4 linked regions of the Anolis sagrei genome follow. The protein of the gene in region 1 interacts with the protein of each later gene in a pairwise test. Links are inferred from orthologs where the notes say so. Each region holds a gene or a part of one and is shown in the gene's direction. Other genes may lie near its edges. The genes, in order: LONRF1, EFHC2, KCTD9 and TRIM42.

Region 1 (7,569 bases):
TTTCAATGTGGATTGTATACAGCTGTGTGGAAGGGGCCTAAGGCTGGATTCTACTCTGCCCTATATCCCACAATGTGATCCCAGATTATCTGCTTATTCCAGATTATATGGCAGTGGGGATTTATATAATCCAGTTCATGGTTTATAACCTGGGATCAGATCCATGGATATAAGGACAGTGTAGGTGCATCATATAATCCAGTTCAAAGCAGATAATCTGGGTTTGGATCATGGGATATAGGACAGTGTGCAGATCCATCCTAAAACTTTACTGGTTTTAGCTGTCACGCTGATGTTTAGCTTGTGATCTATCACTCATGTTTGGCTTCTAATCTATTAAAACCCCAGCTCCTTTTTTAATCTACTGCTGTCAAGTACTGAGTATTTCATTTCTCCCCTAAATGGAGTGTATTTATTTATTCTCCTTGGATTTCTTTGAGAGCATCCCATTCCCTGCCTATTTCCAATTTCCTAGTCCTGGACTGCAACTCTCCACACTACGCCTCTGTTGTGTCAGCTCCACTGTCTGCTAATTTGCCACCGAGCATAATTCAAAGTGCTGGCTTTAGCCTATAAAGCACTAAATGATTCTGGCCCAGATTACCTGTTCAAACGTATCTCCTCCTATGAACCATCTAGGAACTTAAGATCGTCTGGGGAGGCCCTGCTCTCGATTCTGTCTGCCTCGCAAGTGTGATTGGCAGAGACGAAAGACAGGGCCTTCTACGTGGTGGCCCACCGGCTATGGAACTCCCTCCCCAGGGATATTAAATCGGCCCCCTCCCTCCTGACTTTCTGAAAAAAAGTAAAGACCTGGCTCTTTGAGCAAGCTTTTTGAGAATGCAGCGAAATAGATAACACAGAACTATGAATGATGAACATGGAATGGCCAGACAATGTTACTGGATAACGTTTTTAGCTGGATGACACCAATGATTATATGCTTTAACGGTTCTTATATATGTTTTATATTGTAATGTTGATTGTTTTTAATGGCACTTTTATAAATGCCTGACATTGAATTGTACCAATCTGTAACCCGCCTTGAGTTGCCATATGGCTGAGAAAGGCGCGCTATAAATATAGTAAATAAATAAATAAACTCCCAGCAATCCTCCAGATAGATAGATAGATAAGATAGAGATAGGTAGGTAGGTAGGTAGATTGATCAGGAGGACTGCTGGGAGTTGCAATCCAAGAATAGGTAGAGAAGGAAGAAAGGGGAAAAAGAGGAGGGGAAAGAAAAAGTGGGGGGGAGGGAAGAAGAAGAGAAGGAAGGAGAGAAAGAAAGAAAGAAAGAAAGAAAGAAAGAAAGGGTTGGAAAGAGGGAGGGAAGGAAGGAGAGAAAGAAAGAAGAGAAAGAGGGAAGGTTGGCCACAGCAGCGCGTGCGGGGGGGGGGGGGGTACAGCTAGTATTAATATATTTTTTGAGCCTAGTTGCATTGCCCCTTTAAAAGGCAAACCTGAAACCTCCAGGACCTGTTGCCAATGAGACTGAGAAGCGAGGAGATGGAAATACAATCGATTTTATTTGCAAGAAGGTCTGATGGTAGCAGTGAAAAACAGGTCCCACACTAAACGAATCATGCATGAGGCTTTTATAGGATTTGCAAGTATGTTCCACACTTTCATATATTTCCCTTCACATTTCTCTTTCCCTTTGTTCCTGTTCCATATGGTACTTTGATCTGGTGTTTACCAAAACAATTAAAGTGAGTAATTTCCCCAGTTTCCTGATTAAAGGTCATTCAATCCATCAAATACCATTTGGACTTCATGAGACCTATGTGAACTTTCTTCCTTTCCTTTAATGCTCCATTTGGTATGTTTTGTTGTTTGATCTTTCTTCCTTTGTTACATCTAAGGCTATTGCATTTGTCAGCCGTCTATCACCTGGTCTTTCTTTTTCCCTTTAATGTCTTACAACTTCCATTTGGTGTGTTTTTCCGTTTAGAAAGTTTTCCTTCTGTCCCTTTGTGTCCCTAACCCTAACCTGGACCCAGATTTTAATTGGCGTGTTTTAACAACTGTTTAATGCTTTGTTTTAATGAATTTGTTGATTGTTCATATCATTATGATGGCACCAAATGGCGTTTGCTGTGAGGCCGCCCTGAGTCGCCCCTCGGGGGGTGAGAAGGGCGGGGTATAAGTATATGAAACAAATAAAATAAAATAAATAGGACAATTCCATCATAAGAGAATGGGACAGAGAATCATAGTTAGAAGAGACCTCGTGGGTCATCCTGTCCAACGCCCTTCCAAGAAGCAAATAAACCGCATTCAAAGCACCCCTGACAGATGGCCATCCAGCCATCTGTTTAACATGAAGTATAAAAATTAAGAACACTTAATAAAAAACATTAAAACCACATGATCCAAACTCGTAGACTGGATCATTGCAGATGTCGATTGCACATATTCCATATATACCCCGCCTTGAGCCATCAGGAGAGGTAATACCTAAAATGGATTATGATTCTGTGTAGCACTTTGTCCTCCAAAGCACTTTACATTTTTTAGGTCTGCTTGTATGTTTTCCACAAACGCCCCATCACTTTTTCACCCATGTTCCAGCATTACTTTCAATTTTAATTTTACATTTGGCCTTCCCATAGTTTTTAATCGTGTGGTCTTATTGTTAATGTTGCATTATTGTATTGTCCATGTTTTATTTTAATTGCTTGTATTGTTGTATTTGGGCTCGACCTCATGTAAGCCGCACCGAGTCCCTTGGGGAGATAGTAGCGGGGTACAAATAAAGTGTTATTATTATTATTATTATTATTAATAATAATAATAATAATAATGTCGAAGGCTTTCATGGCCGGAATCACTGGGTTGCTGTAGGTTTTTTCGGGCTGTATAGCCATGTTCTAGAGGCATTCTCTTCTGACGTTTCACCTGCAACTATGGCAAGCATCCTCAGATCTCAGAGGTCTGTTGGAACTAGGAAAAAGGGTTTATATATCTGTGGAATGACCAGGGTGGGACAAAGGACTCTTGTCTGCTGGAGCTAGGTGTGAATGTTTCAGCTGACCACCTTGATTAGCATTTGATGGCCTGGCTGTTGTTTGGTGTGGCTTGTTAGTGCCTGGAGCAATCTTTTGTTGAGAGGTGATTAGATGTCCCAGATTGTTTCCTCTATTGTTTTGCTGTTGCAATTTTAGAGTTTTTTTTAATACTGGTAGCCAGATTTTATTCATTTTCATGGTTTCCTCCTTTCTGTTGAAATTGTCCACATGCTTATGGATTTCAAGGTTGCCATTCATTTTCCGGACCCAATTCAAGGTGCAGGTTCTTACCTACAAAGCCCTGAACGGTTTGGGACCCGCCTACCTGCATGACCGCATCTCTGTATACGAACCCACACGATCTCTTGGTTCATCTGGAAAGGCCCTGCTCACGATCCCACCTGCATCGCAGGCATGATTGGTGGGGATGAGAGAGAGGGCCTTTTCGGTGGTGGCCCCCGACTCTGGAATTCACTTTCTAAAGACATCAGTCAGACTCCAACTCTGGCAGTCTTTAGGAGGAGCTTGAAGACATGGCTGTTCCAGTGTGCCTTCCCAGAATAATGATCCCATAGCACTTTGTCCTCCAAAGAACTTTACTTTTTAGGTCTGCTTGTATGTTTTCCACAAACACCCCATCACTTTTTTGCCCATGTTCCAGCATTACTTCGAATTTTAATTTTACATTTGGCCTTCCCATAGTTTTTAATCGTGTGGTCTTATTGTTAATGTTGCACTGTCAGGGGTGATTTGAATGCAATATTCCTGCTTCTTGGCAGGGGGTTGGACTGGATGGCCCATGAGGTCTCTTCCAACTCTTTGATTCTTGATTCTATGATTGTATTGTCCATGTTTATTTTAATTTGCTTGTATTGTTGTTATTATTGCTTGTATTGTTGTATTTGGGCTCGGCCTCATGTAAGCCGCACCGAGTCCCTTGGGGAGATGGTGGCGGGGTACAAATAAAGTGTTGTTGTTGTTATTATTATTATTATTCAAGGTGGTCAGTTGAAACATTCACACCTAGCTCCCGCAGACAAGAGTCCTTTGTCCCACCCTGGTCATTCCACAGATATATAAACCCCTTTTCCTAGTTCCAACAGACCTCACTACCTCTGAGGATGCTTGCCATAGATGCAGGCAAAACGTCAGGAGAGAATGCCTCTAGACCAGTGGTTCTCAACCTGGGGTCCCCAGATGTTTTTGGCCTACAACTCCCAGAAATCCCAACCAGTTTACCAGCTATTAGGATTTCTGGGAGTTGAAGGCCAAAAACAGCTGGGTACCCCAGGTTGAGAACCACTGCTGTAGACCATGGGCATATAACCCGAAAAAACCTACAGCAACCCAGATTATGATTCTCATTAAATTGGGAAGAACAACAAAAGCCAGGCAGCCAACCAAACCTTGGGCCACGTGGCCTTGTTTTATAATTTCGCCCGCCACGCCCCTTACTCCGTCTAGCCAATCGGAGGCCAGCTTGCGCGGGAAAGGGGTGGATGACGTGTGGTTTTATGTAAGCCTGTGGCCTCGCTCGGGATTGTCTCGCGCGCCGGCGAAAGGGAGGGGGGAGGTGGCGAGGGAGAGGGGATCTGTGTTGAGAGAGCTTACCTGCTCTGTGAGAAAAGTGGCAACGAGGGAGAGGCGAGTGGGCGGAGCTTGCCGTGCGCGCGCAGGGGCGGTTGAAGAATTGTCCCACAAGGGGCGGGGGGAGGGGTTGTTTGACAGGAGTGCGCAGGCGCGCCCAGCTCCACTCAGACAGAGTTGGGAGTTTGGAAGGAGCGTCTCGAGCGGCGTCGTCGTCGCGTGCCACACGCCCCCTTTCCCTGAGAGGAGGAAGGTCTCATGGCGTCTCCTTCGATGGAAGTTCCCTCAGAGCCCGGCGTCCCGTCGGAGCAGGAGCGGCTCCTTCGACGAGGAGAGCGCCTGGCGTTAGGCCACCACCTGAAAGAAGCGCTGGAGGCCTACTCGGCGGCGCTGCGCCTGGGCCCGCCGCCTATGCCGAGTTGCCGCCGCCGCCTCAGCACTTTGGTGGACTGTTTGGTGCTCCATTACCGTCTCCGGCAGAAGGAGGAGGAGGGAGAGGAGCAGGAGGAGGCCGCGGAAGCCAAAGAAACAGCCCCGCCGCCTGAAGAGAAGCGGGAGGAGGAGGAGGAAGAAGAAGAAGAAGGGCTCTTCCGCTGCTCGGGCTGCCGCGGGTTCTTGAGCGAGCCCGTGACGGCTCCCTGCGGGCACAGCTCCTGCCGCCGCTGCCTGAGCGAGGAGCTCCGCGCCCGGTGCCGCCGTTGCGGGGAGCCTCTGGGGTTGCTTCCCGCCTCCGTCACCGTGGCTCTCCGCCACCTGGGCGAGAAGTGGTTCCCGGCCGAGTGCGAGAGGGCGCGGGCCTGGCGGCGCCTCGGGCAGCTCCTGGCACAAGGGCGGCCCCGGGAAGCCCTGCACGCCGCCAGCCGCGGCCTCGCCGAAGGTAAGACGCCGGGAAGGGCCATTCGCGCTGCAGCCAACCCTCGCACCACCCAGGCTCCATCCAGAATCATAATCATAATCTTTGTCGAAGGCTTTCATGGCCGGAATCACTGGGTTGTTGTGGATTTTTTGGGGGGCTATATGGCCATGTTCTAGAGAGCAATGGTTCTCAACCTTCCTAATGCCGCCACCCCTTAATACAGTTCCTCATGTTGTGGTGACCCCCAACCATAACTCTAACATTATGAATCGCCATGTAAATAATAATCTGCAGGTTGTACATTCATTCACTGGAGCAAATTTGGCACAAATACCCGGTATGCCCAAATTTGAATACCAGTGGGGTTGGCAGAGGGGGATTGATTTTGTCATTTTGGAGTTGTAGCTGCTGGGATTTACAGTTAACCTGCAAACAAAGAGCATTCTGAACCCCACCAACAATGGAATTGAACCAAAGTTGGCACACAGAACTCCCAGGACCAATAGAAAATACTGGAAGGGTTTGTTGGACATTGACGTTGAGTTTGGGAGTTGTAGTTCACCTACATCCAGAGAGCACTGTGGACTCAAACAATGATGGATTTGGACCAAAGTTGGCACGGATACTCAATATACCCAAATGTGAAGGGTTTGGGGAAAATAGACTTTGATATTTGGGAGTTGTACTTGCTGGGATTTATAGTTCACCTTCAATCAAGGAGCATCCTGAACCCCACCAATGATAGCAAAGTAAATAAATAAATAAATAAGTGGGCCAAAGTTCCCACACAGAACCCCCATGACCAACAAAAAATACTATATTTTCTGATGGTCTTTGGCAACCCCTCTGACACACCTTCGTGACCCTCCCAGGGGTCCCGATCCCCAGGTTGAGAAACACTGTTCTAGAGGCATTCTCCTGACTTTTTGCCTGCATCTATGGCAAGCATCCTCAAGAGGTAGTGAGGTCTGTTGGAACTACGAAAGGGGGTTTATATATCTGGAATGTCCAGGATGGGACAAAGAACTCTTATCTGTTGAAGGCAAGTGTGAAGGTAAGAGGATCCCTCTTGTCCTTTGCTGAATGTAGCATTTGTTAAATTTTCTTAGTGGGTCTGTAGATAGTTTGTATGTTGTGTTTCCTCATCAGCTTCCCTATGTGGTTCTTGATGTATGGCAAGAACACTTTTTCTCTGGGTAAATCTTTGTCTTTAGTTTCATGGCTTGTTCTCGGTCTTGCAGCTCTTCTGATGTCTGAGGTGGAGTATCCATTGGCCTGTAGAAGCCAGTTTAGGTGGTTCAGTTCATCTTGGAGGAGGTGGGGTTCGCAGATTCTTTTTGCACGGTCTGCCAAAGCTTTAATGGAGCTTCTTTTTTGACCTGGGTGGTGGTTGGAGTTTTTATGTAGATATCTATCTGTGTGTGTGGGTTTTCTGTGAACGGTGTGACCCAATTGTTGATCTGGTTTACGGATGACTAGGACACAACATACAAATTACCTACAGACCCACCAAGAAAATCTAACAAATGCTACGTTCAGCAAAGGACAAGAGGGATCCTCTCACTTCTGTGGGAGCCTACCGTATACCATGCAGCTGTGGACAAGTCTACATAGGGACCACCAAACACAGCATTGCCCAAACACAAATCAAGGAACATGAACGGCACTGCAGACTACTTCAACCAGGAAAGTCAACCATAGCAGAGCACCTGATGAACCAACCTGGACATGGCATTTTATTTGAGAACACAGAAATGCTGGACCACTCTAATAACCACCATGTCAGACTACACAGAGAAGCCATTGAAATCCACAAGCATGTGGATAATTTCAACAGAAAGGAGAAAACCATGAAAATGAACAAAATCTGGCTACCAGTATTAAAAAAACTCTAAAATACAACAGCAAAACAACAGAGAGGAAATAAACAAGGACATCTAATCCCCTCTCAACAAAAGATTGCCCCAGGCACTGCCAGGCCATCAAATGCTAATCAAGGTGGTCAGTTGAAACATTCACACCTAGCTCTAGCAGGCAAGAGTTCTTTGTCCCACCCTGGTCATTCCACAAATATATAAACCCTTTTTCCTAGTTCCAACAGACCTCAATACCTCT
Region 2 (7,923 bases), on another chromosome or scaffold:
CTCATGGAGATTCACATTTGCCAAACGGGTGTGACATCATTTTTTTACCTTTTCAATAATAATAATAATAATAATAATAATAATAATAATAATAACGTTATTTATACCCCGCCACTATCTCCCCAAGGAGACTCGGGGCAGCTTACATGAGGCCACACCCATCAATACAGAAAACACAATATAACGCAAAAACACAACATAAAATCAGAAAATAAAATAACAAAATACAAAACCAATGTAAATAGGCAACACAACAATATGGAATCAAAACATTAAAACACTAAAAATAATCAAAGTGGGCAGGGCCAAATTCAAAGATTAAAATTTTAAAACACTGGGAGATAGGGCAGTGTAAAATATCAGGAAAGGGATCTGGGGGATACAGTAGGATTTCATTGCACAAACCAGAGAATAACGTGCTTCTGAGGACATTTTATGCAGAGTTTGGTCAGGGATTATCATACATTCAGTCATTGCACAGCCATGTTTTCAGGCTCTCCCTAAAAAAATTCAGGGTGGGAGCTTGCCTAATATCTCTGGGGAGTGAATTCCAGAGTCGAGGTTATGGTGCACTTATTTCCAATAGGTTATGGAATTTCCAATATCAAAAACTATATTATTTAATTTATCATGGAAAATCAGGTCCCAGGGTTTTTCCACTGGTTCATCTTCATGCTCGTAAAATTCCTGTGTAAAGTAACAGTTTCAAGCTTTGCTCTTATATAGTACATGAATCATACCAACTATAGCTGAGGACATCAAAAACAGCAGAAGGCATGCCTTCCGTTCATTAGTAAAACAGAGTTGGCCACTGTTTGCTTGTAGGTTACTAAGTTAAATGAAAAATGACAGCCAGTAAAGAGAGGCATAAGCCATGATTAGCATTTTGTCCGCTAGTTAAATATTGGATTTGATCCAGTACAATGGATCAAACATGACTACTGAGTCAGGCTTCACGTCCCAATGTCTTACAGTCTGACATAACCTACTTTTCCAGTAAAAGCAATCTCATAGAGGAAAAGAAGGGGGGGGGGGGGGCAAATGGTTTGCATAACCTCAGATCTTTAGAAGTTCTGTATTCTTTTTCTTTACATTCAAATCACGAAGGGAAAAGGAAGCATATGGGCCTGAACGAATAACATGTTTTTGCAATATGTTAATTGTTGCAATTATGACGTTTACAATCTCAGTTGTAATTTTGTTACTAAATTAACAAAACTGTACATCCTTTCTTTCTTCTGACAGAAAAGAGAACACATTTTTATTTTGAACTAGTTTGGGTACCCAGTGTTGCCTGGGTTATTTGAAAAAAGTCATTTTTAATTGTACAAAATGCTTAAAGTTATGGGTGAACTACTACTCAAGTCATGCCAGGTTAACCCTGAAAAACTCCATCAGTACTTAAAGTTTGTTATGTTGGGCAAGTTTGTCCTAAGGTCTAACTTGATTCAGAATTGAGAATATCTGGGAAATATCTGAAGACAACTTGATGACAGCGAGCTTTCCTTTTTACATGTTCAAAGTTTGGCAGAACTGTCCAGCAATTAGGTTATGGCACCAAGAGGTCTTTTTAAGGCTGGTTTTGTGGATTTACTATGGTAGAAACTTTGGTAGGTCACATTCTATTTCATCAAGTACCTGAAATGTTGTCCTTATTATACAAACAGTACGTACAGAGGCAATAACATAAAACAAAGCAAAACCCACAAGTGTACCCAGATGGAAAGGAAACAAAGATCTTGTAACAATTCAATCTGAAGTAGAACTGGACATAGTGCCTTTATCCACAAACCCAGCAACTCAGTGGTTTAACCGACTGCACCACTGGGGTATCATGTCTCTAATGCTGGAGATAATAAAACAGCCATTATCAGTGTTACTCGAATGTCTTCTTAAAGTCATCAAAGCCTCATGGTAGGAAATTTTATAATTTAAGTAGTGCATGGTATGAAATGGTGCTTCCAGATAATCCTGGTTCTGGGACTATGGTATGAGAGAGCTGCAGAGGAAAACACCCCCCCTCCCCCTTACAAAGGTTGCCAGGAAAATCTTGTGTTAGGGTCACCATCAGTTGAAAATGACTTTTCAAGGCACACAACAACAATAGGTCCAAGGTCCTTGAAGTAGTCAGTTGTTGTCATAGTTACAAGTTTTGTATTTTCTCTCAAGGTAAATAGCATGGTTCTTTGGCGGGAAGGGGCACCTCACTCCATTGGTCTCTGTTCCCACATTGCAAAGGATGAGCTGGCTCTGAAACACTGTGACACGCCTCCATCCCATTGAGTGAGGCCACTTGTAACTATATAATTACTTTAAATATTTTTGGCACAACAAAAAGAGACAGAGTTGGCATTTGCTTCAATTACAATACACTATAATTTAGCTCAGTGTCTAACACTGAATCTATATATAATTCTAGATTAATTGGTTTCATTATTAATAACAATAATGAAACCAATTCTTTAAAACTGGGGCCCCTTCCTAACAGCTGTATAAAATCCCACATTATCTGCTTTGACCTGGGATATATGGCAGTGTGGATACAGATAACCCAGTTCAAAGCAGATATTGTGGGATTATCTGTTTTGACATTCTCAGTTATATGGCTGTGTGGAAAGGCCCTGGATCTCAATGCAGTAACGATGGTCTCTTCTACACAGCCAAATAAAATCCCACATTATTTGCTTTGAACTGGAATATATGGCAGTGTGGACTCAGATAACCCAGTTCAAAGCAGATATTCTGGGTTATAAAGCTGTGTGGAAGGGCCCAATGACCCCTTCTATGCTGCCATGTAAAATCGAGATTATCTGCTTTGAACTGGATTATATGGCAGTGTAGATTCATATAATCCAGTTCAAAGAAGACAATGTGGATTTTCTGCTTTGATTGTCTGGATTATATGACAGTGTAGAAGGGCCAAAGTCTAACTGAAATCAATTCCTTTGAACTGGAACTAATTATAGTAACTAGGGCCCCTTCTACACTGCCATATAATCCAGATTATCAAAACAGATCATCCCCGGTATCTGCTTTGAACTGGATTATCTGGGGGCCCTTCCACACAGCCCTATATCCCAGAATATCAAGGCAGAAAATCCCATCATATCTGCTTTGAACTGGAATATATGGCAGTGTGGACTGGTTGTTTTTCATTTTATTTATTTATTTATTTACCTTACTTATATACCGCTGTTCTCAGCCCGAAGGCGACTCACAGCGGTTCACAACAAATACGAACAGCAAAAATTCAGTGCTACAGTATAGAAACAGTTAACAACCTAACACATTACACAATTAATAAACAGTTACTACAATACCCATTCACTGTCGTCTCGCCATCAAAAACATGTTCCAGATTCGTCATCCATTGTTCCATTCCAGTGTTCATTAACCAATTTTCACACTTTTATACCATAAGAAGGGGCGGGGAGGGGGGGGAGGGGGAGGCCAAGGAAAGTATAATAGGTTAGTTATGGAGTTAGTAAGTTAGGTGTATCCATAAGTCTAATGTACTTCCAAGGATTTATTTTATTTATCGTGTCATCAGCAACCAGACCATTGTATTACATTTCCAACAGAACAAAACAGACAAACAGATAAAAAAACAAAAATTTTGCAAACTTGGTAGTTGATTAAATGTCCTTTGACCAGTATCTGGCCGCTTGGAGTGCTTCTGGTGTTGCCTCATCCAAGGATGAGGAAGGAGAGGGGATTGTTAAACATAGATTTGTATTTAAAACCATTCCATTCACTATGTCTTTTGCTTAGGAAAACCAAAAAGAATTGGTGGCTTGCTGTGAGTTTTCCCGACTGTATGACTATGTCCCAGAAGCATTTTCTCCTGGCGTTTCGCCCACATCTACGGCAGGCATCCTCAGCGGTTGTGACCTCACAAGGCAGATAATCCACAATATCTGCTTTGAACTGGGTTATCCGAGCCCACACTGCCATATATTCTGATTCAAAGCAGATAATGTGGAATTTTATTCAACCGTGTGGAAGGGGCCGAGGTCCATACTCAGATAATGTGGGATTTTCTGCCTTGATATCCTGGGATAAAGGGCTGTGTGGAAAGACCCTTAGCTTATACTAACATATAATCTAGTTCAGGGGTCCTCAAACTAAGGCCCGGTGGCTGGATGTGGCCCTCCAAGGTCATTGACACAGCCCTTGCTCAGGGTCAACCAAAGTTTGAAATGACTTGAAAGCATACAACAACAACAACAACAACACCAATCCTATCTCATCAGCCAAAAGTAGGCCCATACTTCTCACTGAAATACTAATAAGTTTATATTTGTTAAAATTGTTCATCATTTTAATTATTGTATTGTTTTTAAGTGTCTTTTGCACTACAAATAAAATATGTATTCATTAGTGTTTTTTTCCCCCAAATTATAATCCAGCCCTCCAACAGTTTGAGGGACTGTGACCTGGCCCTCTGTTTAAAACGTTTGAGGACCCCTGATCTAGTTCAAAGCAAATAATCTGGATTTTATATGGCAGTGTAGAAGGGGGCTAGGTCTAATTAAAGGTAACTACTTTGAACTAGATCGAATTGTAGTAAGTAGGGCAGAGGGTCTAAATCAGGCATGGGCAAACTTCCTCCCTCCAGGTGTTTTGGACTACAACTCCCACAATTCCTAACAGCCTACTGGCTGTTAGGAATTGTGGGAGTTGTAGTCCAAAACACCTGGAGGGAGGAAGTGTGCCCATGTCTGGTCTAAATGCCAGTGGGATGGTGCTCTCTCCCTGCAGCTGTCATGTAGAGCTTCTGATCCAGCTCCTCCACTCAGGTGAAGTTCCAATGGGCTGCCTTGCTTTCTGGAAAGCCGGCGCGGCGTGCAGTGAGGGCCACGTGACTGCAGGGAGCAGCAGAGGGCAGGAACGCCCCTTCCCGGGCCGTCCTCTGTGACGTCGGGCGGCGGTTGCCTGGCAACGGGGCTCCAAACAGGCCCCGGGCGCGCCTTGCGGGCCCAGCGGGTTCGGGCGAGAAACACCAGCCAGCCCCGGTCGGCAGCAGGCGTGCCGCCATGGCGCTCCCGCTTCTGCCCGGGAACTCCTTCAACAGGAATGTAAGTGGCCTCGCGCGCTCGCTCGCGCTGCCGCCCTGCTCTCCCGGGGAGGGGGCCCAGGTTCCTGCCCTTCTCCTTCTCTCCCTTTCAGGTCGCCTCTCCGTTCCTGGGCTTCAGAGAGTTCTCTTGGGCCAGGAGGGGCTTGGCCAGGCCCTCCCTCTGAAAATTAGCCCCACAGCACGTGGTGTTCGTTGGTGGTCTCCCATCCAAGCATCAACCAGGGCTGGCCCTGCTTAGCTTTGGAGATCAGGCTGCATTTGGTGCCTTTGAACCAATTAGGCCAACATCGTTCATGACTACCCCCTTTCTCCACATTTAGGACACACATTCAAAGGTAGCTGTGCTCCTCATGCAGAAAAATACACTGGGCCCCTGGTATCTGCCCTTGGTATTCAGCATCATTAAATTGATATGCCTTATATGAAAGGGAAGAATGTATGGCTTGCTATTAGTTTCTGTTTTTAAAATATACAAACCATGGATGATGGAATCCAAGAATGCAGAATCTGTGGATATGGAGAGCTGACTGGAAAACAGAATCTACAGAAAGGGATGCCTTTATTGACAAAATGCACAAAATACTTAATGCAAGCTTTCAATAATAATAAACTTTATTTGTACCCCGCTACCATCTCCCCAAGGGACTCGGTGCGGCTTACATTAGGCCGAGCCCACAATACATCAATACAAGCAACAACAACAACAACAAAACAATTAAATAAAACTCATCAACAAAAAGCAGTCTACAATGACAGTAATACAACACACATTTAAAATCTATGGCTGGGCCAAATGTAATTAAAGTTAAAAATAATGCTAGGCATGAACAAGATAGGAGAGATTGGGCGTTGGTGAGAGCGTACAAACAATCCTAAATCAATGAAAAGTGCATTTAGAGGGCACAATGCTGAGAGTTCATTATTCTGGGAAGGCACACTGGAACAACCATGTTTTCAGGCTCCTCCTAAAGACTGCCAGAGTTGGGGCATGCCTGATGTCCTTGGGAAGTGAGTTCCAAAGTCAAGGGGCCACCACTGAGAAGGCCCTCTCCCTCGTCCCCACCAATCTCGCCTACGATGGAGGTGAGAGCGCAAGCAGGGCCTCTCCAGATGAACGAAGAGATCATGTGGGTTCGTAAACAAAAATGCGGTCACTCAGGTAGGCGGGTCCCAAACCGTTCAGGGCTTTGTAGGTAAGAACTTGCACCTTGAATTGGGACCGGGAAATAAATGGCAGCCAGCGGAGCTCCTTAAACAGGAGGGTTGACCGCTCCCTGAAAAGAACACCAGTTAACAATGTATTGTCGAAGGCTTTCATGGCTAGAATCACTCAATTCTTGTGGGTTTTTTCTGGCTATATGGCCATGTTCTAGAGGCATTTCTCCTGACATTTCGCCTGCATCTATGGCAAGCATCCTCAGAGGTGAGGTCAGCATCCTCAGACCTCACCTCTGAGGATACTTGCCATAGATGCAGGCGAAACGTCAGGAGAAATGCCTCTAGAACATGGCCATATAGCCCGAAAAAACCCACAAGCACCAGTTAACAATCTGGCCTCCGCCTGATGGACCAACTGAAATTTCCGGGCCGTTTTCAAGGGCAGCCCCATGTAGAGCGCATTACAGTAATCCAATCTGGAGGTGACTAAGGCATGGACCACCCTGGCCAAATCAAGGCATCTTCACCAGGCAAAAAGGACATTTAATCAACTACCAAGCTTGCAAACTTTGTGTTTGTTTGTTAGTTAGTTTAAAATGCAATACAACTGTTTGGTTTGCTCCTGACATGATAAATAAATAAATACCAAGCAAAAGGGATTCAAAACAATCATACCGAAGAATAAAAGAAAAAGAGGTGATGTTGGAGTCACAGGCAAACCTTTTGCATCTGATAACGTTTCTGTTGTTCAATTGGAACAGTGATTCCCAACCTTTTTCTTGACCAGGGACCACTTTGACCAGGGACTACTCTCCAATATTAGTACCAAAAGGGTTACAAATCAGGTTTTGGCCAGCTTTATATTTGATTTGGTTCTTTGGGTTGCTGATTCGGAAAATCGTATGAGATTGACCACATCAGCTCTAGTTTCTGATACAGAACATACACCATCCAGTAGTTGTCATCTGCTTGCCCACAGAAAACCATATTTAATAATCTAGAGCTGATGTGGTCTATCCAATGCAATATTCTGAATCAGCACCCCAAATAACCTCAGGAACAGGCCTAAAATGAAGACACCAAGGCATCCCTGCTTCCAGGCACCACACGGAACAGCTCCGCTTAGGAAGAGGGAGGAGGAGTTGAAGCAGCAGTTGTGCCTTTCCTGGGTAGTCTCCCCTTCCAACATCCCTGTTGCCTCAGCACTATAAGAGGGTTTTGCGAGACCAGTCGCTTTTGTTGCAACAGTGACGGTTCTTGCAGACCACAGGTGGTCCACGAACCACAGGCTGGAAACCAGTGGTCTGGAGGGGTCTCAGTACAGGCAGAGGTCCTTTCTCTTTTTTGATCATGTGGGGAATAAGGCAAAGGTCAGAAAATGTTACATTCCATCAACAGTTCCTTCTTTAGGCACCAGGATGCCTCTGGGTGCATCTATACTGTAGATTGAATGCATACTGACCCTACTTTCACTGCCATAGTTCAATGCTAGGGAATCCTGTAATTTGGTGAGGCACCATCACCAGGTAGAAATGGCTATTGGCTAAAGACTTTGGGCCTTTCCACTCAGCCCTATATCCCAGAATATTGAGGCATAAAATCCCACATCTGATTTGAACTGGACTATATGGCAGTATGGACTCAGATAACCCAGTTTAAAGCAGATATTGTGGGATTTTCTGCCTTAA
Region 3 (7,730 bases), on another chromosome or scaffold:
GACCCAAAATTTTCAGTTAACACTGTTGATGCAGTGAATGTTAATGTAACAGAAGCTTAAGATAAAAGGTGGCCAATGTAATAATAAGGTATTTTACAACCCAAACCAAAGAAGAAGACTGTTTGGCCCTCCAGATTGTTATACTATACTTGAAATCCCATTTTCCTTCACCACTGGCTATATTGGATTAAAAATCTCTAAAATCAGGACAGTAAATAAAGAACAACACTCAGAAACAGGGGAATTCCAGACAAGAAACCATCAAGGCAAGCTAATCACCTTCCAACAGTATCTGGAGGCGATTGGAGTAAACTAGGGGTGACGCAGATATCTGAAGTAGCTTGGGATTGTGTAATAGCTGGTCTATTTTAACCTTCATTTTTAATTTTTGTGGTATGAAATTTTATCTTTACCTTCCAACAAAGGATCCCCCCAGGCAGGAAGGAACCAGGCTTTGAAACTGCAAGGCCATTTAATGCTAATCAAGGTGATCAATTGCAACATTCACACTTGCCTCCAACAGATAACAGTTCTTTTTCCAACCTTTGAAATTGTTCCATAGATATATAAACCTCACTTGCCTAGTTTCCATCAGGCCTCACAACCTGAGGATTCCTGCACTAGATATGGATGAAACATCAGGAGAGAATGCTTCTGGAACATGGCCATACAGCCCAGAAAACTTACAACTCAACATTATGTGGCTTACTCACACATGCCTCCAAAATCATTCATGGCTACCCCTTAAACCGTGGTTCTCAACCTTCCTAATGCCACAGCCTTTTTTTAATACAGTTCATTATGTTGTGTTGACCTCCAACCATAACATTATTTTTGTTGCTACGACATAACTGTCATTTTGCTACTGTTATGAACTGTAATGTAAATATCTGATATGCAGGATGTATTTTCATTCACTGGACCAAACTTGGTATAAATACCCGATACGCCCAAAGTTGAATACTGGTGGGGATTGATTTTGTCATTTGGGAGTTGTAATTGCAGAAATACCTGATACACCCAAATTTGACAGACCACCTGTCTGTCCTGTTTTTTCCTTTCTTTTTGTTGTCTTGCTTTCACATTTGCTGACAGAAATCTAGAGGTGTGTTTGCGTGTGTGTGTGTTTTTGTCATTTGGTAGTTGATAGGATTTATAATTCATCTACAATCAAAGAGCATTCTGAGCTCTACCAATGATGGAATTGAACCACTCTTGGCACAAAGAACTCCCATGACCAACAGAAAATACTGGAAGGGTTTGGTGAGCATTGACCTTGAGTTTTAAATAAATATTTGTTTATTTATTTAAAAGTTTTATATACCGAGCTTCTCACCTCATAAGACGGACTCAGCCCGGTTTCCAACCATAAAAACACATACAATCGGTAAAATATCAAAATACACATTGCAATAAAACATTTAAAAAGCACATATATTTAAAACTACAGTGGTCAGTCGTCATACTAAAATCGAATATACACCGTCTTCCATGCAGATCATTGTTTCATTCTTCGAAAGCCTGCCTCCATAACCACGACTTCACCTGTTTCCTGAATGTCAGGATTGTTGGGGCAGTTCTAACCTCTGACGGGAGAGAGTTCCAGAGTTGCCGGGCCACTACCGAGAAGGCCCTGTCCCTCGTCCCCACCAGCCACGCATGTGAAGTCGGCAGGACCGAGAGCAGGGCCCCTCCAGACGATCTTAGTAATCTTGATGGTTTGTAGGGGAGAATACATTCAGAGAGGTAAACCGGGCCGGAGTCGTTTAGGGCTTTATAGGTTAACACCAGCACTTTGAATTGTGCTCAGAAACTAATTGGCAGCTAGTGGAGCTGGTGTAACAGCGGAGTGGTGTGCTCCCTATACCCAGCACCCGTTAGTAATCTGGCTGCCGCACGTTGTACTTGCTGCAGCTTCCGGGTAGTCTTCAGAGGCAACCCCACGTAGAAAGCGTTGCAGTAGTCTAAACAGGATGTAACCAAAGCGTGGAATACCGTGACCAAGTCAGCCTTCCCAAGATACGGGCGCAGCTGGCGCACAAGTTTTAGTTGTGCAAATTCATCCAGAGAGCACTGTGGACTCAAACAATGATGGATCTGAACCAAACTTTCATGGATACTCAATATGTCCAAATGTGAACACTGGCGGAGTTTGGGGAAAATAGACTTTACATTTAGGAGTTGTAGTTGCTGGGATTTATAATTCACCTACAATCAAAAAGCATTCTGAACTCCACCAATGATGGAAATGAACCAAACTTGGCATATAGAACTCCCATGACCAACAGAAAATACTGGATGGGTTTGGTGGGCATTGACCTTGAGTTTTGGAGTTATAGTTCATCTACATCCAGAGAGCATTGAGGACTCAAAAATGGATCTGGACCAAATTTGGTACTAATAATCAATATGCCCAAATGTGAACACTGGTGGAGTTTGGGTAAAATAGATCTTGACATTTGAGAGCTGTAGTTGCTGGGATTTATAGTTCACCTACAATCAGAGCATTCTGAACCTCACCAACGATAGAATTGGGCCAAACTTCCCACACAGAACGACCAACAGAAAATAATGTTTTCTAATCATCTTTGACAACTCCTTCAGGTCCCCCAGGTTGGGAAACACTGCCTTAAACACACACGACACAGACTGCCATATGATTTCTTTAAAGTATTGTCGAAGGCTTTCATGGCCGGAATCACTGGGTTGTTGTAGGTTTTCTCGGGCTGTATGGCCATGTTCTAGAGGCATTCCCTCCTGATGCTTCGCCTGCATCTATGGCAAACATCCTCAGAGGTTGTGAGGTCTGTTGGAACTAGGAAAACAGGTTTATATATCTGTGGAATGACCAGGATGGGACAAAGAACTCTTGTCTGTTGGAGCTAGGTGTGAATGTTTCAACTGACCACCGTGATTAGCACATAATGGTCTGACAGTGCCTAGAGCAAACTTTTGTTGAGAGGTGATTAGATGTCCTTGTTTGTTTCCTCTGTTGTTGTGCTGTTGTAATTTTAGTTTTTTAGTACTGGTACCCAGATTTTGTTCATTTTCATGGTTTCCTCCTTTCTGTTAAAATTGTCCACATGCTTGTGCATTTCAATGTCTTCTCTGTGTAGCTTGACATGGTGGTTGTGAGAGTGGTCCAGCACTTCTGTGTTCTCAAATAATCTGCTGTGTCCAGGCTGGTTCATCAGGTGCTCTGCTATGGCTGACTTCTCTGGTTGAAGTAGTCTGCAGTGCCTTTCATGTTCCTTGATTCGTGTCTGGGCAATTTCAACAATTTCAACAGAAAGGAGGAAACCATCAAAATGAACAAAATCTGGCTACCAGTATTAAAAAAACTCAAAAATTACAACAGCACAACAGCAGAGAGGAAACAAACAAGGACATCTAATCACCTCTCAACAAAAGATTGCTCCAGGCACTGTCTGGCCATTATATGCTAATCAAGGTGGTCAATTGAAACATTATGGAGCCCCCGGTGGCGCAGTGGGTTAAACCCCTGTGCCGGCAGGGCTGAAGACCGACATGTCGCAGGTTTGAATCCGGGGAGAGGCGGATGAGCTCCCTCTATCAGCTCCAACTCCTAATGCGGGGACATGAGAGAAGCCTCCCAAAAGGGTGATAAAAACATCAAAAATCATGCAGGCGTCCCCTGGGCAACATCCTTGCAGACGGCCAATTTTCTCACAACAGGAGTCACTCCTGACACGACCAAAAAAAAAAAAACCTGGTACATTCACACCTAGCTCCAGCAGACAAGAGTCCTTTGTCCCACCCTGGTCATTCCACAGATATATAAACCCTTTTTCCTAGTTCCAACAGACCTCACTACCTCTGAGGATGCTTGCCATAGATGCAGGTGAAACGTCAGGAGAGAATGCCTCTAGACCATGGCCATATAGCCCGGAAAAAACCTACAACAACCCAGATTTCTTGGAACATTACCTTCCGTTTGTTTTGTAAACGACTCCGGGGTAATGCCAAAATCAGCTGCTTTCAAGGTAGAGAAATCTAGCGGCGTCGCGGGGCTTTCAAGGCCTGGTTTTGGTCCTAATCCACTCTTGCGAGGGGTCCAATAAGTGGGCCTTTCCACGGCGTTGGGGCCCTTCGGGGAGGCGCCTGTCTGCTGTGTAGACACACTTGCCATTGTGGCCTTTAGCCGCCAACAACAACAACAGGCCTCATTAAAGCTTCTTCAACACAAACACCTTCTCCCTTCACTCGCCTCAGAGCGACTGCCTTTTCCTCGCGCTTTCCATTCAAACAAGCCTCTTCCCTCGCGATGCAATTACGTATCCCTCCGCCTTTTCTCCAATAAGACTCTTTGTTATTCTTATTCCCGACTTCCCTTGAATTCTGGCCAGTTTTGTGTCTCACGTGACCAAAACTCTCCCACGTCTTTCCTCCAATGAGAAGAGGCACCGCCCACATCCCAGGGACTACTTTTCAAGGAGAGCCGGCCACGCGGAAGCGTCGACATCGTTAACCGACAAACGACCGTTGGTAATTCAACGTCATAGGATCAACAACCAATCAGAAGCGGCGCTCCTCTTCCCTATGCAAAGTAGCCCCTCCCTCAGCTGGAAAAACATTGCGCTCTGATAGGCTCCCGCTGGAGCTGTTCTAAGGCGAAAGTCCCGCCTACAATGTGCATCGCAGTTCCTATTGGGCGAAGGAGAACGAGGCTTGCTGCGGATTGGTGAATAGGCTGAGTCAGGGAAAGAACTTCGGCTTCCGGGTTTGCAACCCAGGCGGGGAAGAGCATGTCACTCTGAGGGAAGAAGGAGAAGAGATGAAGAGAGTCACCCTGTTTGTGAATGGCAGCCCCAGGAATGGGAAGGTGAGCTCAACAAGAACTGCGGGTGATGGCTCTGCTTTCAGGAATGTTATCTGCTAATGGCATGGTTAATCCTGACTTTCCTCCTCCTAAGGTGGCAGGCACGAGTCTCCCTCACTTCACAACAGCCCTGTGAGGAAGGCCCAGGTCTCAAGGAATGGCAAGGTCATCCAATGGAGACCTCAACCCTTTTCCTCTCTCAACTTTCATTCCTGTATCACCAGTATACAATATAATAATACTAATAATAATAATACAATATAGTCATGTATATTTACATTACATGTAATATTACTAATATTACAGTATAGTGGTATAGTACGATATAGATACACCACACCTCACTACCTCTGAGGATGCTTGCCATAGATGCAGGCAAAACGTCAGGAGAAAATGCCTCTAAACAACCATTGTTGTTGTTGTTCATTTGTTCAGTCGTCTCCGACTCTTCGTGACCTCATGGACCAGTCCACGCCAGAGCTCCCTGTTGGCCGTCACCACCCCCAGCTCCTTCAAGGTCAGTCCAGTCACTTCAAGGATGCCATTCATCCATCTTGCCCTTGGTCGGCCCCTCTTCCTTTTGCCTTCCACTTTCCCCAGCATCATTGTCTTCTCTAAGCTTTGCTGTCTCCTCATGATGTAGCCAAAGGACTTCAGCTTTGTCTCTAGTCTCCTTCCCTCCAATGAGCAGTCGGGCTTTCTTTCCTGGAGGATGGACTGGTTGGATCTTCTCGCAGTCCAAGACACTCTCAGGACTTTCCTCCAACACCACAGCTCAAAAGCATCTCTCTTCCTTGGCTCAGCCTTCCCTACGGTCCAGCTCTCACATCCGTAGGTGACTACAGGGAAGACCATGGCTTTGACTAGGCGGATCTTTGTTGCCAGTGTGATGTCTCTACTCTTTACTATTTTGTCGAGACTGGACATTGCTCTCCTCCCAAGAAGGAAGCGTCTTCTGATTTCCTGGCCACAGTCTGCATCTGCAGTCATCTTTGCACCTAGAAATACAAAGTCTGTCACGGCCTCCACGTTTTCTCCCTCTATTTCCCAGTTGTCAATCATTCTTGTTGCCATAATCTTGGTTTTTTTGATGTTTAGCTGCAACTCGGCTTTTGTGCTTTCTTCTTTCACCTTGATTAGAAGGCTCCTCAGCTCCTCCTCGCTTTCGGCCATCAGAGTGGTGTCATCTGCATATCTGAGGTTGTTAATGTTTCTTCCAGCAATTTTCACCCCAGCTTTGCATTCCTCAAGCCCCGCACATCCTCGCATGATGTGTTCTGCATACAAGTTAAAAAGGTTGGGTGAGAGGATGTAGCCTTGCCGTATGCCTTTCCCAATCTAGAATCAGTCTGTCGTTCTGTGGTCAGTTCTTACTGTTGCGACTCGTTCCTTGTACAGATTCCTCAGGAGAGACACAAGGTGGCTTGGTATGCCCATCCCACCAAGAACTTGCCACAATTTATTATGATCCACACACTATATATGCACACAGATATATATACACACGCATATATGCATATACACACAAAGCACATACACAGAAAGGGGGAAGGAAGGAGAGAAGGAAGGAAAGAAAGAAGGGTAGAGAAGGAGGGATAGAGGGAGAGAAGAAGAGAAGGAAGGAAGGAAAGAATGGTAGAGAGAGAAGGAGGGAGAGAAAGAAGGAGAGAAGGAAAGAAAGGTAGAGAAGGAAGGAAGGAGAGAAGGAAATAAAAAAGTAAAAGAGAAGGAAGGCGAGAAGGAACAAAAGAGAGAAAGAGGAAGGAAAGGAAGGAAGGAAAGAGACAAGGATGGAACCAAAGAGCAAAGGAAGTGAGAAAAGAAACAGGTAGAGAAGGAAGAAAGAAGAAGGGAAAGAAAAGGAGAGAGGGAGGGAGGGAAGGAAGAAAGGAGAGAAAGAGGGAGAGAAGGTCGGCCACAGAAACATGTGGCGGGTACAGCTAGTATATAAATAAAAATGTAATGTTCCTTTGTGGGATTAACATAATTTGGATACAATACGCCTATCAGGCCAACGAGTGACTATCATAAAAACACTGAAAAACACAGAAGAAGGGACTTAAAAAGCAAAAATGCTATACCACATGCGCAAAAATGACTCCCCTGGCAAACAAAATGCACAATAGCCACATTCTCTTCTGGACTACAGTTCCCAGCATCCCCTAGACCAGGCCCTTTAGGAGAGGAGGATGATCCAAATGCACTGCTTCCAGGTTGCAAGCTTTCTTCTCCTTGGATTTCTTTGAGAGCATCCCAATCCCTGCATATTTCCAATTTCCTATTCCTGGACTACAACTCCCAGCAATCCTCCAGATAGATAGATTAGATAGAGCTAGATAGGTAGGTAGATAGATCAATCAATCAGGAGGAGTGCTGGGAGTTGCAGTCCAAGAATAGGTTGAGAAGGAAGAAAGGAGAGAAAGAGGAATTGAAAAAAAAGGTGGGCGGGGCAGAAGAAAGTGAAGAAGAAGAGACAGAAACAAAAAAGGGAGGGAAGGAAGGAGAGAAAGAAAGAAGAGAAAGTGGGAGGGAAGGTTGGCCACAGCAACACGTGGCAGGTACAGCTAGTAGTAATATATAGCATTAATATTGTGCTGTGCTAATAATATAATATATTGTATACACATATAAATGTTATAGTGTAATACAATATAATGCCAATAGTAATACAAGATAATGTTATATTTCATATTACATATAATATTACTAATAATATTACAATATAGTCGTATAGTACAATATAGTAATATATAATACTAATATTGTGGTATGCTAATAATATAATGTAATGTATGTACATACAACTTGTAAGCCGCTTTGAGTCCTCTTCTGAGTGAGGGTAGCATATAAATATTGTAAGTAAATAAATATAACTATACTGCCTCGGTCA
Region 4 (7,868 bases), on another chromosome or scaffold:
GCATTGGGAATATATCTGAAAATTCCCTTTTAAAAACCATGTCTCCTCTATAACAAAAGCAGTCTTCCGGTGTTATGTTTTTCCCCCATTCTAGTAGCAAACCTGCGTCACATAGGAAAGTGAAACTGAAACAAGTAATTTCATGAGTTTAAAAATGGAGTAGGTGACACAAAAAAGCACTTCTTTGGAATCACACTCAGCCAACAACAACTTGACCAAAGAAAACAAAAGAAAATTCTCTCTTTCTGTCAAGGTGGCTGATTACTCATATAACCATAATTTGGAGCCAGAACTCAATTTTTTGTCTTGCCCCATTTTTCCAAAGGAAAGAGATAAAAAACTTAATAGAAATACTATGCAAACAAAAAGATATCTTTTGAAACAAAAGCCTATTGGCTATGAGTGCCTCATGTGAACATATAATTTGTAAAAATATAAATGTGGAGATGATAGATAGCTACTAATGGCAATGCACAAAGTCAAATAAAGCTTCCATACTCCATTTATGCTGATTATGAATGGATGAATCTCTTGTACATACATATCAGGTAGGCATGTTCAGAATTATCACACCCCATGAACTTCCAGAATGTGATAAAGCTTTGAGAATATTTTCAAGATTCAAGATTGAAGAAGACAACCAGCATACCAGTACTTAAACAACACTTACTAATTGCCAAAAAAGAGAGAAAGAATTAAAATGGCACTGGCTGACATATAAAGTTACATAACTTAACAGGTCATTTAGGATTCTGGTATTTATTTTTAATTAGTGGTATCCAAACTTAATATAATCTCTGATGAGAATGGATATATTTTTTCTGCTTAGTTTGCCAGAAAATTTTGCTGTCACTGTCCTTATATTAAAGGACCATATTTGTTCACAAAGGCTGTGATGTCGTAATCCTAGTGGGCTAAGGTGGGGTAATCTCCTGACTCTTTAGGGATATGTGAAAAATTGCATGGATCCATCAACCTCACATTCAAAAGCTTTCAGCCAGAAGCCTGTTGGGACCTTCCATTTTTATAAGTGGAGTTACATCTGTGGGAATTAATACTGAACTGTTCTGAAATCTATCATCATCATCATCATCATCATCATCATCATCATCATCATCATCATCATCATCCAAAGCTGCTGTTTTGTTACAATGAAATAGAGTGAACAGATGTTATGTTACTATGTAATAGAATGAGCAAAGTAATGGATGTGCAATGAGATTATGCACAATGGGATGTGGATTGCATATCCCAGCACACATTGCATCAGTCTCTATGCACATTGGGCACCACAGATACACTCTTATTGGTGTCCTGTTAGACATATTTCCTATTCAATAAAGGGATTTCTTAAGATCCCTGTAATGTAGCTAGATACAGGCAGTCCTCAAGTTACAAACAAGATAGACTCAAGTTACAAACAAGATAGTTTATTCTTAAGTTGAATTTGTATGTAAGTCAGAACAGGTACATATTGTAAGTGTAACTCCAGCCATATATACACAAGATAGGTTCTATAAGTTTATTCTTAAGTTGATCAGTTAGGATTCTAGTGTTCATTTTTAATTAGTGGTACTCAAAGCTTACAGAAAGGAGGATGGATGTAATTTGCTGCCTAGTTTGCCAGAAAATCTTGATAGTTGCTTTATGTATGGAACCACCATAAACAATCCATGGGAAACTGCTTGATTCCAGGTCAGATTATTTTATTGCCTATCCAAAATAGTTCCCCATAATCTATCTCTCAGAAAAGACAAAATAAGATAAGCGAAAATATATTTTTAGGAGCAAAAAATGAAAAATGTGAAACAAAATGGGATAATGTCATATGTTTGGGGGAAAAAACCCTACAATTTAAGCAGTGTTCTTTCTCAAAATATTTCATCAATTTTTCCCTGAGATCCAGAATTGTGTAATTGTTTAAGCATTGGACTATGATTCTGGAGACAAGAATGCACATCCCTGCATGGTCATGGAAACCCATTGGCTTCATTTTATGGTTGCCATAAGCTACAAATGACATGAAGGCACACAACAAACACATTTTTCCCATGTGAACTTTTATCTGTATCTTGGGGATAAGTGGGAAATCAATTATTGACTTTGTCCTTTTAGATTTAGGCTCAGAACAAAAATGGCTTATTTTCCCTGGCAGTGGCTCCAAATGCTTTCAGGAGATTAGGTTATTTGCACCATTCTCTCCTTCAGTTGGAAATGTCAAGGATTCAATCTGAGAACATTTGAATTCAAAATCAGGACTGGCTCTACAGAGAGTTACCTCAGATGAGAGAGGCTGTGAGGCAGCAGCAATAAGCTGGTTTCTAAGCAGCTTGGGTCAAAACAGCTGGAAGATAATTAGCCTGCCCTGTGTTCTGCAAAAATTGCTTCGTTCACATTCAACAAAATAGGATCAATAAATCTTCAGGACAAGTCAATTGATCAATATTCAGTAATTATAGTGGAGCCCTGGTGGTGCAATGGGTTAAACCTTGAGCCGGCAGAACTGCTGACTGAAAGGTTGGTGGTTTGAATCTGGGGAGTGGGGTGAGCTCCTATCTGTAACTCCAGCTTCTCATGCAGGGACATGAGAGGAGCCTCCCACAGGATGGCAAAACATCTGGATGTCCATTGGGCGACATCCTTGCAGGCAGCCAATTCTCTCACACCAGAAGTTACTTGCAGTTTCTCAAGTTGCTCCTGACATTAAAAAAAGTAATTATAGTACCTTCCTAGATCATAAAATATGAACAATGATAGGTTAGAAACCTCTCCCAAATCCTGGGTTCCAGCATATTTCCAAATATCCTATCTTGCAAGCATCATAGTAGACCCCAAATTTCTTTTCAAATCTTTGCTGGATGACATTAGGAAAATGTGCTCCCCCCATCACTGTTTGATGGTAAGCAATTGCTTCGTTCTATTGCTAGGCATGGGAACAAAAATAGCATTATATTAGCATAATCAGATCCCTGATTATCTGCTTATCCCAGATTATCTGGCAGTGTAGATTCATATAATCCAGTTCAAATCATATAACTTGGGTTCAGATCCTGGGATACAGAGCAGCATAAATCTAGCCCTAAAGATGATTCAGCCAATAAAATTTAACACAAAGTCTCACTCAACTGTTAATAGGCCCATGGCCCCAAAATAAGAGAGAATAAGGTTTTTAAACAGTGTTTTAGTTTGCTCTGTTATTATATTTTTAACCTGTACTTTGTTTTCAGATGCCATTGGTAAAGTTAATTAATGCATGTACTAAAGGTATTCCTCAGATCCACACTGCAAGAAGACAGCTTCTATTCTAGAAAGCTTGGAAGCAATAGCTAGGTGACCTTATTAGGGTTTCCATATCTTAAAGCTTATTTACTCTTTATTTATTTATTTATTTATTTGCTTTATTTTTATACCGCATTTTTCAGCCTAATTCGGCGACTCTTTTCTAGATATGAGATTGAGGGGAAGGAATCTTGGGGTTAAACAGGTGTGTGTTTGTATTTTCTTCATTTGTTAGACCATTTTTCAAAATGAATTGCATGTTCTGTTCTTCTACTGCTGTTGATGCTTGATATATCATGCATAATGATATCACCAGTCCCTGTGTCCTGTGACATCAACATGATGTCATCAGTAACTCTCAGGTTCTGGACCTGAGATTTCAGGGATACTATCAGGGGTAGTAACCTTAGTCTTCACAGATGAAAATATAGAAAATGGAGCCTTTTAGTCCACTTTAGTCTCTTAATTTCCATGGGTTATTGTTTCCTAGAAGTCCTGCTAGATGGACATATTTTCCAGTCTTTTAGTATTAATTTGATACTTGTATATTGTTCAGAAATAATTCAGACAACACCCAGAAACCCAGCTCTAATTACCAAATGATCTCATCAGAAGCTCACAAACCAGTTTATGAGTAGCATCTGTAACGGAAATATCAGTTGCATGTTAAATGCAGTAGTATTATGCAGCAATTCCTGAAGCACTCACAAAGACTGTCTTTTTGGTTGGAATGACTGATAATGTCTTATGCCTGGTAGCCAGAGAAATATAATTCATTATATCAGTATCAGTTATAAAGAAAAAGAAATGTTAATCAATCCAGTTTTCACCCAAAACAATAACTGTAACCCACTGTAAGTATCCAAAGACGACTCTGTGGAGCCAGCGTAGACAATTGAGATTGCCTAGACATGTATTTTGTAAGACAAGAGGAGACATTGTGTTGGCACATAAGAAATAGTTAGAGCAGCAATACAATACTGAGTTCTTATTGTATTTTAATGTTTCCAGTAAATGTGATATTTTGTCTCTCAGTCTAGTGATCACATGCACTGTTACCCAGAATGAACATGCCCTCATCCTCAGAATCATGACTTTACTTTAATTTCTGATTGGCTCAGAAGTAGAGTATTTATAGCTCTAATATTTCTGTTTCTTTTATAATAACAAAACATTGGCAAAACAATAGAGAATACTAAATCAAATGATAGCCAAAATTAATGTATTTACATAAATCATGTCATTTTAAGATTCCATGCTGACATCATCCTGTTGACCAGAGAAAGTGCAATTTTTATCAGAGTAATACAATGATCCTCATTGCATTATTTCTTGTGCAGTTTAGTCATATGAACATATCAGTGCAGGAATCTCAAGTGCTTTAGTCATTATGACATACATTATGACACTGCTTTCATTGGTAAAACCCATTGTGATGCCACATTTTCTTCCCAAGTGATCAGTATTTTCTCCAGAGGTCCAAAATAAAGTATGGGGCAGTTGCTCTGCAAACATAAACAGCAAGTAAAGCTTTCTAGGACTAAAAAAAGGGAAACCTTAAATATCTGGGAAGACCATGACTGCCATGAGCTGTGCATGTTGCTGGACATGCCCATGTTGCCCAGGTTGTAAATGTTGTGGATTCTGCATCAAGTTTCGAGACTTTGTGAATAATATAACCTCTGGCAGATGCTGCTCTTGTTGGCTGTTCTTATTTAGTGATGAGCGGCAGTGGGACTGCTGTTTTTGCCCACATCGTGAAGATTCAAGGTGCCAGTGCTGCCACTGTTCATGCTCGGAGAATCCGAATTGCCGCTGTTGCTGTTGCTCCTGTTCTACTAATCGAAATTGCAAGTGTTTGTGCTGTACAGATGCAAATACTGAGTGTCAGTGTTATGACAGTAGATGCTGCAGTTATCTCTCCTATTTGCCATATAGGCGTAAACATAAACTGAAAAGGTAAGTGTTGTAAAACTAAAATGTTAAGGATCACAGTCCTGTACTTGTACACTTACATCAGGGTGTTACTCCATCAACCCCAGTAATGACTATCTGACTGACAGCACATCTCAAATGTTTCAAGTAAATGACCTTTTGGAGTGAGGTGTGTGTGTGTGTGTGTGTGTGTGTGAAGGCATTGCTCCCTCCATAAAAATTCCTTCAGTTTTCAAACTTCTAGTATTGGTAATTAAAACTTTAGTTCAGTATTTAGTAATGGAGTTTAGGCATTCAAAGGAAAGGGGCAGCCAAAGTTAACCAGGGAATGCAAACACAGCAAATATAAGGATTCTAGGCTCAAACAATTTCAGTGTCTAACTTATTGCATGGCTGGAATTTATTTTGTTGTGCCTTCAAGTCATTTTTGTCTTATGGTGACCTAAAGTTAACTTATCAACTTTTTTTGAGATTGAGTGTCTGGCTCATCCAAAGCCACTCAGTGAGTTTCTATGGCTAAGAGGGAAATTGATCTCCAGTCTTCAGAGTCATGGTCCAGTGCACACACAACTACAGTGGAAATTTTCATGAAGGGGCAGAATTCTTAGTGGGAGGCAATGTCTCAATTTTGCATACGCACAGAGTCATTTTGTTACACCTCTGAGTCTTTACCATCATTAGGCATTCGATTTGAAATCAAAACCAATCTGGAGTTGCTGTGGACTGAACTTGAGGCATACAGCATGCAAAATGGAATTTACATATGAGCATGGACAAAATAACTTCTTCAGAAGGATTTAGTATACATTCAGAGCCTGGGAATGGGATAGTCAGCTTTTTGAGCTCTAAATCCCAGAATGCCCCAGGATTAAAGAAATGCTAATTGCTTCTATACATGGAAAGAATGATAAGGAGAGGACAGGACCAAGATGTAAAGCACACACACTGTTTTTCATAAAATTGGATGTTGGGGAGGCTACACTTTGCTAACAAATATACATATTCAAAATCAATGTCAAAATTAAAAATATATTAGTGAAATTGAGGGCCACTTACATAAAATGAGATGTGAGTGAATGATAAGATTATAAAATTCAATAATCCTGATCCCAGTCATGGATGTTTTATATTTTTTAAAAAAAAATCCACACAACTTTTAACTGAAGGAAACTTTTGAAGAGGGATTTTTCTGCCTTCCCAGTTCATGAAGACAGTAATCAGGTTTATTCAGCAAAACCTATTTTGTAGTGAAGTGCTTGATATGATCCTTTATTACTGTCTCCATTCACTTTTAGAAAATAGATTACTTGGTTTAACCCACTTTTTACAATTCTCAGTTTTAAACCATGGCAAACCAAGACTTAAGAACAGTTGCCAGTGGCAGTGCTGAATAGTACTTAAAAGATGGAAACCTAAGCCCATTTCATTTCAACTTACTGGATGCTTTAGGCAACTTAATGTTAACCCTCTTTCTCTGCTTGAGAAATTAGTTGTAGGTATTACCTGAACTCCACAGGTCAAAGTTAACCTCCATTTTTTAGAGTTCCCCTATCTATTTTTTTATTAACTCACACAATGCACAATAAACAAGTCAGATTTTATGTTATTTGGGATCTGTTGGTCCAGGACCAAACCCATTTATATCAATAACAGCTTCATCATATTGTTGACAAGCTCTGACCTCATCAAAGCTTGGAAAAGTTACTGCATTGGATGGAAGCTCCCCGCATCTCCATACTAGCTCAGGGATTCACCATTCAACCAAGTAATTTTTCTATGTTCTACAGCTGATATATGAACTCTAGACTAGGACTTCTTTGGGGAGATGGGGTGGGATATAAATAAAGATATTTTTATTGTTGCTATTATTAAATTTTTCAACTTCGGACCCCTTTTGGCCCAAGACAATTTTACATGATCCTGGGTATATAAGTATATAAAATAGGTAAAAATATCAAACATATATGGATAACACAACATCATTTTTAAGTGGGTTGTTGTAGGTTTTTTCAGGCTATATGGCCATGTTCTAGAGGCATTTTTAAGGCTTGCTGCCCCTGGTGGTGCAGTGAGTTAAAGCACTGAGGTGCTGAACTCGCTGACAAAAGGTCACAGGTTTGAATCTGGGGAGCAGCATGAGCTTCCACTGTTAGCCCCAGCTTCTGCCAACCTAGCAGTTCAAAAACATGCAAATGTGAGTAGATCAATAGGTACCGCTCCGGTGGGAAAGTAACAGTGCTCCATGCAGTCATGCCGGCCACATGACCTAGGAGGTGTCTACAGATAATGCTGGCTCTTCAGTTTAGAAATGGAGATGAGCATTGGACTTAATGTCAGGGGAAAACCTTTACCTTTAAACAGTTTTTAATGAAGCATCTTATGTAGAGTCCATTGTAAATGCTGGACAAATTTGTGTAAATTTCTAAAACAGTAACTAAATGGCAGTCAGAAAATTATTACTGTTGCCAGTTTTTGACGACACCAACATTGAGTTAAAGGGATCTTATTTGGGGTTGTGATCCACAGTTTAAGAAGTCATATTCTAGACCAGTTTTTACTTGTACAACTAGTAAAGAAAACTATCTCCTTCATTCACCAATAATTTGACTTTTAAAAAATAATTCTGTTCTGAAAACTTGTATGGTATTTTTCTC

Evidence for each region.
Region 2: the proteins of LONRF1 (region 1) and EFHC2 interact in binary tests that used the Homo sapiens proteins (3 or more experiments, as listed by UniProt). The two-hybrid records come from large-scale screens. The link is inferred for Anolis sagrei from reciprocal best matches to the Homo sapiens genes LONRF1 and EFHC2.
Region 3: the proteins of LONRF1 (region 1) and KCTD9 interact in binary tests that used the Homo sapiens proteins (3 or more experiments, as listed by UniProt). The two-hybrid records come from large-scale screens. The link is inferred for Anolis sagrei from reciprocal best matches to the Homo sapiens genes LONRF1 and KCTD9.
Region 4: the proteins of LONRF1 (region 1) and TRIM42 interact in binary tests that used the Homo sapiens proteins (3 or more experiments, as listed by UniProt). The two-hybrid records come from large-scale screens. The link is inferred for Anolis sagrei from reciprocal best matches to the Homo sapiens genes LONRF1 and TRIM42.

What each region holds. Positions count from the first base shown.
Region 1 is NC_090025.1:73,032,589-73,040,157, forward strand, and holds the start of LONRF1 (LON peptidase N-terminal domain and RING finger protein 1), read left to right. Parts: upstream 1-4,563; 5' UTR 4,564-4,856; coding exon 4,857-5,475; intron 5,476-7,569.
Region 2 is NC_090023.1:77,049,198-77,057,120, forward strand, and holds the start of EFHC2 (EF-hand domain-containing family member C2), read left to right. Parts: upstream 1-4,918; 5' UTR 4,919-5,036; coding exon 5,037-5,078; intron 5,079-7,923. UniProt on the Homo sapiens protein: Microtubule inner protein (MIP) part of the dynein-decorated doublet microtubules (DMTs) in cilia axoneme, which is required for motile cilia beating.
Region 3 is NC_090027.1:6,177,945-6,185,674, reverse strand, and holds the start of KCTD9 (BTB/POZ domain-containing protein KCTD9), read left to right. Parts: upstream 1-4,719; 5' UTR 4,720-4,795; coding exon 4,796-4,843; intron 4,844-7,730. Other genes in the region: CDCA2 (cell division cycle-associated protein 2), read right to left, coding at 3,949-4,150. UniProt on the Homo sapiens protein: Substrate-specific adapter of a BCR (BTB-CUL3-RBX1) E3 ubiquitin-protein ligase complex, which mediates the ubiquitination of target proteins, leading to their degradation by the proteasome.
Region 4 is NC_090023.1:230,542,617-230,550,484, forward strand, and holds the start of TRIM42 (tripartite motif-containing protein 42), read left to right. Parts: upstream 1-4,855; coding exon 4,856-5,238; intron 5,239-7,868.